Rattus norvegicus: one gene and its partner. The protein of the gene in region 1 interacts with the protein of each later gene in a biochemical or structural test. Links are inferred from orthologs where the notes say so. Each region holds a gene or a part of one and is shown in the gene's direction. Other genes may lie near its edges. The genes, in order: Itpr1 and Cabp1.

Region 1 (4,577 bases):
CTGCTCCTGAAATGGAAGGAGGGGGTCCTTTAAGGAAGGGGTGATGGAGGTCCTGAAGGGCAAGTCCTCGGTATAGGTACAGGTTGGAGTTGCAATGGAGACCGGAAGTTAACCTGGTTTCTACTGCGCAGAGATAACAAACCCAGAATCGGTAAAACACAATAGCATGATGTACAGAAAGAGGACATGGGCTGAGCTCTGTAGAACCATTTGTTTTCATAACAAGGACTGCTGTTAGTAGGTCTTTAGCGGTAGCAGACAGACCCCATTTAGGATGTTATGATATACTTTGGCGCACTCTCATATCCTGGCACCATGCCTGGCCTGGCACCCAGATGACACCGGGGAACGTTTGTGGAATGAATACTTGCAGTCTGGTTTGGGCGGGGTGGGGGGTGGGAGGTGGGATGCGGAGGGAGACAGTGGGATAACTTTGCCTGCGATTCAAACTCTTCTTTCAAAAGCCAAAGTTCTAAGCACTTTGCAGGCTGGAGCCTACACTTATTTGTGGTGTGTTGAAACCCATTTCAGCCCAGAGGCTTGGGTTGAAGACTTGCAGCACACCTCGCCTGGACGCACACATCTTAGTATAGCCGCTTTCTCTGAAGCCCTTATTTTTCTGGTTTGCGGTTTATTTACTTGAGCATTTACAGATTCCAGGAGCAAAGGGGTCCTAGAAGCGGGGTCAGGACCAGGTCGCGGTTTGTATTTCTTTCCTGCTTCGCGATCACAACATCAGCCAAGTCACAACATGGTTCCTTTATTTGCTCACTCGAAAGGGTTGCGTTCCTTTTACCTCCCACCGGGCGACGAAAGACAGACACAGCTCGGATTCAGAAAAGGGCTTTCACACGATTACCCCGCATCCTCGATAGCAGGGACCACCTCATTGCCAGACTTTTCATGCAGACACTAGCAGGATCCAATAAAGAACTGGAACAGATTTAATAAAGACAAACTTGCTTCTTTAATCCTTGACCGCAAAACACTGGCGTTTTTGTGCCTCGGATTTCTGAAATTCTTGGCTCCAGGACACAGGACGCGCGGGGGTGGGTAAACAGCTTGTAAAAACTTCCCAAAGTAGTAATCCGAGCTCTTCCTCTCTCTCTGGCCCCTAGTGACACCTGACTTTAGAAAAGGGACAGTCAAAAGAGAAGGGTTCACAGGGGTAAGGGACACCCTGTGGATCGGGCTTGCCAAACCTGGGGAGTTCGCTGCTTAGACACAGGTTCGCAGCCCCAGCCTTCCCGCTCGGCGCCCCTCCCCCGACCCTGGTCAGTGCGCGGGAGTCTATTTAGAACCCAGCCCCAGAGCCCAGGGCATTCTGGGACTTGTAGTCCTTCTGCGCAGCCCCAGGCGCCGGCAGGACCTGGGAATCGGACTACATTGCCCAGGGAGCTTCCGGGCCTATATAAGCGGCCGGGAGCTGCTTCAAAGTGCAGTAACCATGTGGATGTTCTGCTGAAGCGTTTCCTCAAGCCTGCCGGGGTGGGAGGAGAGGAGGAGGAGGTGGTGGTGGAGGAGGTGGAGGCAGGGGGTGGAGAGAGAGAAAGCGCACGCCGAGAGGAGGTGTGGGTGTTCCGCTCCCATCCTAACGGAACGAGCTCCCTCTTCGCGGACATGGGATTGCCCAGCGGCTGCTAACCCCTGTCCTGGTCCTGATCCCTCAAACCGGCGTGGCTCCCCGGTCACCAAGGTAGCTGCTGGGGCCGGGCAGAGGGCTCGGGGAGTTGGCACTGGCTCCCGTGCGCTGAAGTTTTTGCCCTGATCACTGGGAGTTCTTGGTGGCTTTGCATGCACTTATGCACTTGGCGTGTATTTTGGGGCTTCTTTCCCTGCGAGCAGTTTTGGGAGGCGGTCTGATTTTTTTTTTCAGGCTTAAGTAACCCCAAATGTCCTCGACTCTAGTGACCGGCTTCAACCTCCTTCCCCGTACTGAAATGGCATTCCCCCAAGTTGGAAACGGCTGGAGTGTTTGCAGGAAATAGTTTTCCCCCCTGGGGGGGTATTTGAGGGGGTGTCATATGAGTTTGCTCAAGGAAATAATCTTTCTAAAAATGTAGCTAGCCCTGTTGCGCTGCTTGGCTGGTAGGATAATGCATGCGTGGGGGCCCCCGTGGGTTTAAAAAAAAAGGAAGAAAACCGGAGGAAGCAGGGGCGGGAGCGATGAGAGAAGTGTGGACGGAGCTCGTGCCCAATGAGGACGCGGGTTTCACATACTTGGCCTCCACGCGGGGAAACAAGTGCTTTGGGATCTCAACACTTCCTTTCGTCCACAGTCTCTTCCCCCCACCCCCCCATCGTATTCGAAGTTTCTGCGTGCCTGATCTTTCTGGTCAGCTCCGGACGGGAAATAAGCATGCTGGGGTTGCTTTTATCTGGGGGCAAGAGATCCCTCCAACTTGACTGCTAAATTTGGAGGTGGGGAGTGGGATCTGCAGGAAAAGCGAACGGAGACTAAAAAAGTCGAAACCTGTCTTTGGGAACATTCTGATAGACCGTCGCAAGATCCCATACTCAGTCTTCTTTCTTTGTAAATATTTAGGAGCTGACTACAAAGGATTTGCATCCTTGGCTGGGAGTCCATTGGCTACAGAGTGCCTGACCTGGGTCAGGTGAGTGTGGGAGCTGAGTTCTGTAGTCAAGAATGTTTGTTTGTTTGTTTGTTTGTTTTGTCCTAAGCATTTTGTAACTCCGCTTGTAACGTACATAGAGGTAGAGTAGGGAAGAGAAAGAAACTGTGGTCAAAATTGGTCATGGTCTTGAGTAAAGATCCAGTGACAGCTACTTTTGAAGGTTGCTTAGAATCGAAGCATGGGGGTAAAGGGGTGGTGGGTAAGCAACAGCAACAAGCAGTAAATTGCGGTAGATTGTAAAGTGGGTGGTCCCTTACCAGCCTGAAAGGCACCCTCATTATTTAGACTCCCAAAGATGCAGAACTTTTCGTTTGCCAAGATCCCTAAGCAAAAGTGAGATACTCCTCCCTTTCACAAACTGTCACTTGGTTCTGTTCTGTCGTGGGCTTTCACCACGTAACCAGAGTGGGCTGGGTTGCAAGAAATGAAAGCGACAAATTGAAAGAATGAGAACTTAACAGGAAGTAAGAGCTTAAAGAATACCACTGTAGCTTCCAGGATTTCACAGGAGCCACCTGCATATCAAGGAACCCAGCGTGCTTCTCTTGCTTTGGTACCTGTTCCCGGATGAGGGGCTGAGGGCAGTGTTTCTGTCAATATAATGACATTTATCACAGCCCATTCCTAGAAAATAAAGCCTCTCTCTGTAGGTACACAGACGCCCCTATGGTTTCAGGTTTGTCTATCAAGTTTTTTCTTCTAAAATGTCTGGTAATTGAGTAAACAACAGGTTAATAGGAGTGGGGAGCTGTGGGCAGCTGGTCCTTGGTAACTTCTTTAATGTCCTAAATATTTAGCTGTTCCCTGGGCTACAATCTTTGGGCTTTTCTAATTAGTGAATGAAAGCCAGATACTTCATTATGGTAGCACAGTGCTTTTGTTTCCTGTTGATAAGGTCCTCAGGAGTACTGGTGGAGTGGGAAACATTTGGATGGGAAGGCTAGTTCTCCTATGGACTAATGTCTGTGTTGATCAAAGAGGGGTCAGTCTTCTCTTTGAAGTATGCTACAGACACCGTTAACTGGTCCACAGACTCTTCTCTATCTTTTGCCTAAAAATAATGAGGCTGTCCCATTAGGTTAGAGCAAGCCAGGTGCAAAGCTGTATATCACAGAAGACCTTAGATACGGGTGAAGAAACCGAGATTCAGAATGAAGTCACTGGGCAGCCCAGGCAGTAATGTGTACCACTTGTGCTTAAGTTTATGGGGAGAGAGAGAGAGAGATGCTAGGAAAAATAGTGAACCCATTGCTCTTAATGCCTTAACTCTGATTTATGTCTCACCAACAATGTACCAGCTATTTAGTTTGATGTAAGAAGGAAATGATACAGCCCTTGGCAGGGATAAAAGAATGTAGTTATTTGTAGGAGGATTTAATGTTGGGCTGAATTCATGTTAGAAAAGCTCTGTGTGTGTGTGTGTGTGTGTGTGTGTGTGTGTGTGTGTGTGTGTGTGTGTGTGTGTGTTTTGAAAGCTTGAATCAGGACAGTTAAGAAGGAAAACCAGAGGAAACCCAGTGTCTACGTGCAGTGTTAGTCCTGGCTCATAGTTGGAGTAGCTTTTGGTCATTCCCATCAAGGCACCTGAGCAGGTTGAAAGAGTCAGGTGTGTCTCTAGCTGAATAATTGGAAATCTTAAACTGCTTCAGTTCAACCTGTGGAATGTTGGTAGCTTGTCCTGTGGTCTCTGGTTTGCCTGGTTGCTAGTTGTATGCAGTGTTTTTCTTCTCCATTTCTTCTTCAGTCATGTGGATGTATGCATGTTATGAGTATACATTGAACGTATAATTTGCTCCTTGACTACATCAATTCGAAACAGAAAATCCCATCAAGATTTCCTTCTATCCGAGCAGGGCAAGTTCTTTATGTTCCGAAAGACTCACTCTGGCCTCTCCATCGAGGCCCATGAAAGTCACCGAGGTGCTATCACCCATTCAAACA
Region 2 (4,447 bases), on another chromosome or scaffold:
CTAGAACTCTTTATTCTCATCCTCCTGTTTGTAACTCCCAAGGGATTACAGACGTGTGCGCGCGTGTGTGTGTGTGTGTGTGTGTGTGCGTGCGTGCGTGCGTGCGTGCTTGCGTGCACAGGCACGAGCCACCACACCCAGGTTTTCTTTTTCTTTCTTTTTTTTTTTTTTCCTCAAGAGTCAAAATATTTAAACAGGTTCTTACTCCGAAGCCCAAGCTGGCCTCCAGGTCGTAGCAATCCTGCTGGGATTGCGGGCCTGTGCCACCACATCCCAATCCACCTTTCTTGCACGTGTCCATGCAGAAAAGAGGGTCCTCCTCGAAGCCCGCGTTCTTTTGGGAGTCTGACCATCGATCCTAAAGAGGCTAAGCAGTGAGCAGGATGTAGGGACGGAGCATGGGCAGAGTCTAGAACACAGAGGTCCTCACCTCCAAATCTTAACTCCCCTACTACTTAGCACCTTGGTACAAGGGCCTCAGGAGGTACAGACCAGATAGAGGCTGCTCACCGCATGGGCGCCCTGTCCCAGCTCCCGCTCGGGTCTTTCGTGTGCACCGTGTCTTCTGATGTCACCCCGAAATTAGTTTGAAAGAATCATTTGCGCTTCACAGAAGAGAGGAAACAGGCTCAGGGAGGGTGATGACACTTGCCCAAGCTACCCAGATGGGGCAAGCCGCAGAGCTGGGATTTAAGATTGAAACCAGCCCAGTGTGACTTCCTGGCTGCCTACCAAGGGCAGGAGTCTCTCTACAGCTAGAAGGGCAGGAGGTGGTTGGACAGAGAAAGAAGCATAGCAAGTAGGTCCTACCTGGAATTTGACCACCACCACGAACTTCCAGGACAGGTAGCTGCAGCCAGACGCCACCTGGCTCCTCTTGGGTCAACTGTAAATTCTGTGGCTGGCTTGCCTGGGCAATCCTAGTCCCGATTACACTGTGTGGAAGGCGGATGAAAGCGGCATAGGTACACTCCTAGCTTTATCCTTCCAGGTCATCTGGTTCCTGCGTTTGTCTGGGTGGTGTCACAGAGTGCCTGCCTCCTGGCTGATCCTCTAGCGTCCTGCACCCCTTTGGTCCTATGGCCAAAGTTGTTCTCTCTGGAAAGTTCACCCTTGCTTGACTTTGGGGGCGACCGGCCAATCCGGGGCACTGAGGGATCCTCCGGGAATGATAAGGGGCTCCGCCAGTCTCCTTGGGGGAGGTTAGCCAGCCCCTTCCCTCGTGCTCCTGTTCAGTGCCGCAGCGCCCCCTTGGCCACCAGAGGCGCCCGGAAGCGGGACTCCCTGAGCGCGGGGCGGGGCGAGGGGCGGGGCGCGGCGGCACCTGGGCCGCGGGAGAGCCGGGGGTGGGCTCTCGGGGGACAGCAGGCTGCCCCCCCAGATCCGCAGCGCCGGCCGCCGGGAGCTCGAGGCTCCGGGCGCAGAGGCTGCGCTGTCACATGGGCGGCGGCGACGGGGCCGCATTTAAGCGGCCAGGGGACGGCGCCCGCCTGCAGCGCGTCCTCGGGCTCGGCTCCCGCCGGGCGCCCCGCTCCCTGCCCTCCGGGGGCCCCGCGCCACCCCCGCCGGGCCATGCGAGCGCGGGCCCCGCCGCGATGAGCTCGCACATCGCCAAGAGCGAGTCCAAGACGTCGCTGCTCAAGGCGGCGGCGGCGAGCGGGGGCAGCCGGGCTCCCCGCCACAGCTCTGCGCGGGACCCCGGGCTGCGTGGCCGCAGGCTGCCCGGTCCCTGCCCCGACTCGCCTGCAACGTGCGGGGACCCCAGCTCGCGGAGGCCCCTGTGCCGGCCGGTGCCGCGGGACGAGGGCGCGCGCGGGAGCCGGCGTGGGCTGCCCCAGGCGCACTGCAGGCCCCGGGAGACGCTACCGCCGGCCCGCGGGCGCGATGGGGAGGAACGGGGGCTGGCGCCGGCTCTCAGTCTACGGGGCTCCCTGCGATCGCGGGGTCGCGGGGACCCGGCTCCCGCTGGCACCCCCGAGGCGGACCCGTTCCTCCACCAGCTGCGCCCCATGCTCAGCTCCGCCTTCGGTCAGGTAAGGGCCGCGCCCCTCGCCCGCGCTCGGGGCACCGGCGCTCGGGACCCTACGGCGGCGGCGCGTCCCCGGCCCTGCTCGCTCTGCCCAGTCGGGGCGCACCTCGGCTCATCCTGTCCTCCCGCGGCCCTGGCACTCCGCCACCCCCGTGTCTGATTCAGCACCCTGTGCGCTGTCCACACTCCGGGCCTCTTCCTGAGCTCTGCTCAGCCGAGCCTGCCTCGCACCTGCAGGAGCGACCTCCGCAATCCTCCCCGGAGATTTTCCGGGGTCGTGAGCAGCGCTTGGAGCAGGCGGCGCCAACCCGCTCCTCTGGCCTCTGGCGACCCAAAGGAGCGAAGGGCTTGCAGTCTGAGCGGCAGAGGGGAGGACCTGGGAGTCCGCTGAGTTGTTTGCATATGAATTTCTAATAGCCGTGACTTAGAGTGTCTTCAAAGGTCTGGAGAAAGTTAGGGGATTGGAAAAATGGGGAGGAGAAGAGATGTCTGGGCAGGCATGAAGGGTCTGCCCAGGGCTACGGCTCTATCTGGAACTTGAGAATGTTTTAGGAAAGGTGGTATTCCAGGGATGCCATCTGGATGACAGTTAGGCAATTGTGGGATAAGACCGAGAAAATGTAAGCCTGAGTTCTTGTGTCTAGGGTCAGGAAGGCCACTAAGAGGTCACCGGCGACTCGTTTTTGTTCCTCGCACGCCTTTGCCCGCAAGGACTCCAGTCAGCCAGGCGTTTACAAACAGCTCAAGGCTACAGTGGGGGGTTGTGTCGCAGGGGAGACAGGAACCCTTGAACTTCTGAGCGAAGCCAAGATTTCCTCTAGTTCCGAGCCTGTAATTGAATCGAACTCACGGAGGGAGGCAGTTCAGCAGAGGCGCTGAACTGCAGAATGCTGGCTGGCATGGTTTTAGACGCAGGGGGTCTAAGCGTTTCTGTGGCAGGATCTAAGGCAAAGATAACCACCTCAAGCTCCCGGCTTGCTGTGCGGGATCAGTACTACAAGGAGGCCGCGTGTGTTTTGCTTCAGATCTGCTCACTTCTTTTCAAAAATACTACTCTGCAGTGGCTAATGCAGGTGGAGCTCTGTCATGAAGGCAGCTGCACGTGGATTCGGGTTGCACGGGACTGCTGGGATGGTGTGATGGGGCCAGCCGCACAAGGCTTTGTTCCTGCAGGGAGCCCTGTTAGCGGTGCTCAGGAGTAGAGGTTTGGACGCAGAGCCCTGCGAGCCAGAGCCTGGCTCCGTGCCAGGGAAGATGCTCACTGCAGTGGTTTGTGTGTTCCAAGGAGCGGAAGCATGTTAGGAGCGATCTATGGGTCTGGACTGGGTTGTCACCCAAACGCTGTGTCGTGAGTGGGGAATTTTGATTCACTCAGTTACCAAGCATTTCTTGAACGCCCACTTTCTCCAGGCATTGGTGGTCCACTAGGAAGGGAGCAGGGGGGTAGTCAAGATCTGGGCTGTTTTGGAGCTTTTGACCCAGCAGTTTGGAAGGTGCCCAGTCACAGGCTGATTATTCAACTTGCTATCGATCTGGGAGCGGGGTGGGGGAAGGACCGTTGCTTCCCCACCCTTGCAGCATTTGCCTGCAGAGGCCCCAGTCTGAGCTCAGAGCCTTTCGACCGTCTGCTCCTCACCTCCTCCAACCGCTCAGCCATTAAGTGGAGACTATTCTCCAGCCCCAGGTTCTGAAATGTCACAGGGTCACTTGAGTCACGAGGAGTTGGAAGGTCCCATGAAATATTTACTACCTCCCTCTGGAAGCTCTTGCCTCTCAGAGCCGAAGACTTTCTGCCCCCCCCCCGCTACCCCTCCCCCCAAGCACATTCAGTTTGAGTTTCCTGTGACTCCTCTAAGGGATCAAGACGACAAACCCAGCTGGGGGGGATTTGTGTCAAGAGCCTCCGGTCTCCTTTGACCAGGAGGAAGTAGTCTTTCCTTGCTATCTCTGTCTTGCATTGAACATTCTGTCCTTAGAGACAGGGTGGAGACTTAAGAAGGCAAGGTGGGGTCCTGAATGCAGAAAGTTCCGGGTGGACCCACTTAGGGCAGAGTGTATTTTGTTCAGGCCGTTAACTTATTTATCCATTTTTTGACCTTTTTTTTTTTTGAACCATTATCTCATCTGGGCTTTTATTTATTTGGGGGGAAAAAAGAGAGAGAGATGAATTATAGTGTCTCAAGGAGAATTTGGGAAGTTAAACGATTTACGCAGGCCCCTGTATAAAGCTGGGTCCACTGTGTGCCACCAAGCCAGGGCTGTGTCTATGTCCGTGTTGCTGATACCAATTAACTATAAGGTCGCCTTCCTTCTGCTTGTAGTAGCAGCAGAGCGAGCTAGGCAGGATTGGGCATAGTAGAGCTATCCAGATAGACTCTCCACACTGGGGAAAGTGGGAAGCAAGATCCCCCCTCCCCC

What was found.
Region 2: the proteins of Itpr1 (region 1) and Cabp1 form a complex in vitro, tested with the Homo sapiens proteins (2 studies listed by BioGRID). The link is inferred for Rattus norvegicus from reciprocal best matches to the Homo sapiens genes ITPR1 and CABP1.

The regions. Positions count from the first base shown.
Region 1 is NC_086022.1:142,741,896-142,746,472, forward strand, and holds the start of Itpr1 (inositol 1,4,5-trisphosphate receptor type 1), read left to right. Parts: upstream 1-1,544; 5' UTR 1,545-1,696; intron 1,697-2,545; 5' UTR 2,546-2,615; intron 2,616-4,577. UniProt on the Homo sapiens protein: Inositol 1,4,5-trisphosphate-gated calcium channel that, upon inositol 1,4,5-trisphosphate binding, mediates calcium release from the endoplasmic reticulum (ER).
Region 2 is NC_086030.1:47,083,916-47,088,362, forward strand, and holds the start of Cabp1 (calcium-binding protein 1), read left to right. Parts: upstream 1-1,376; 5' UTR 1,377-1,439; coding exon 1,440-2,033; intron 2,034-4,447. UniProt on the Homo sapiens protein: Modulates calcium-dependent activity of inositol 1,4,5-triphosphate receptors (ITPRs). Inhibits agonist-induced intracellular calcium signaling.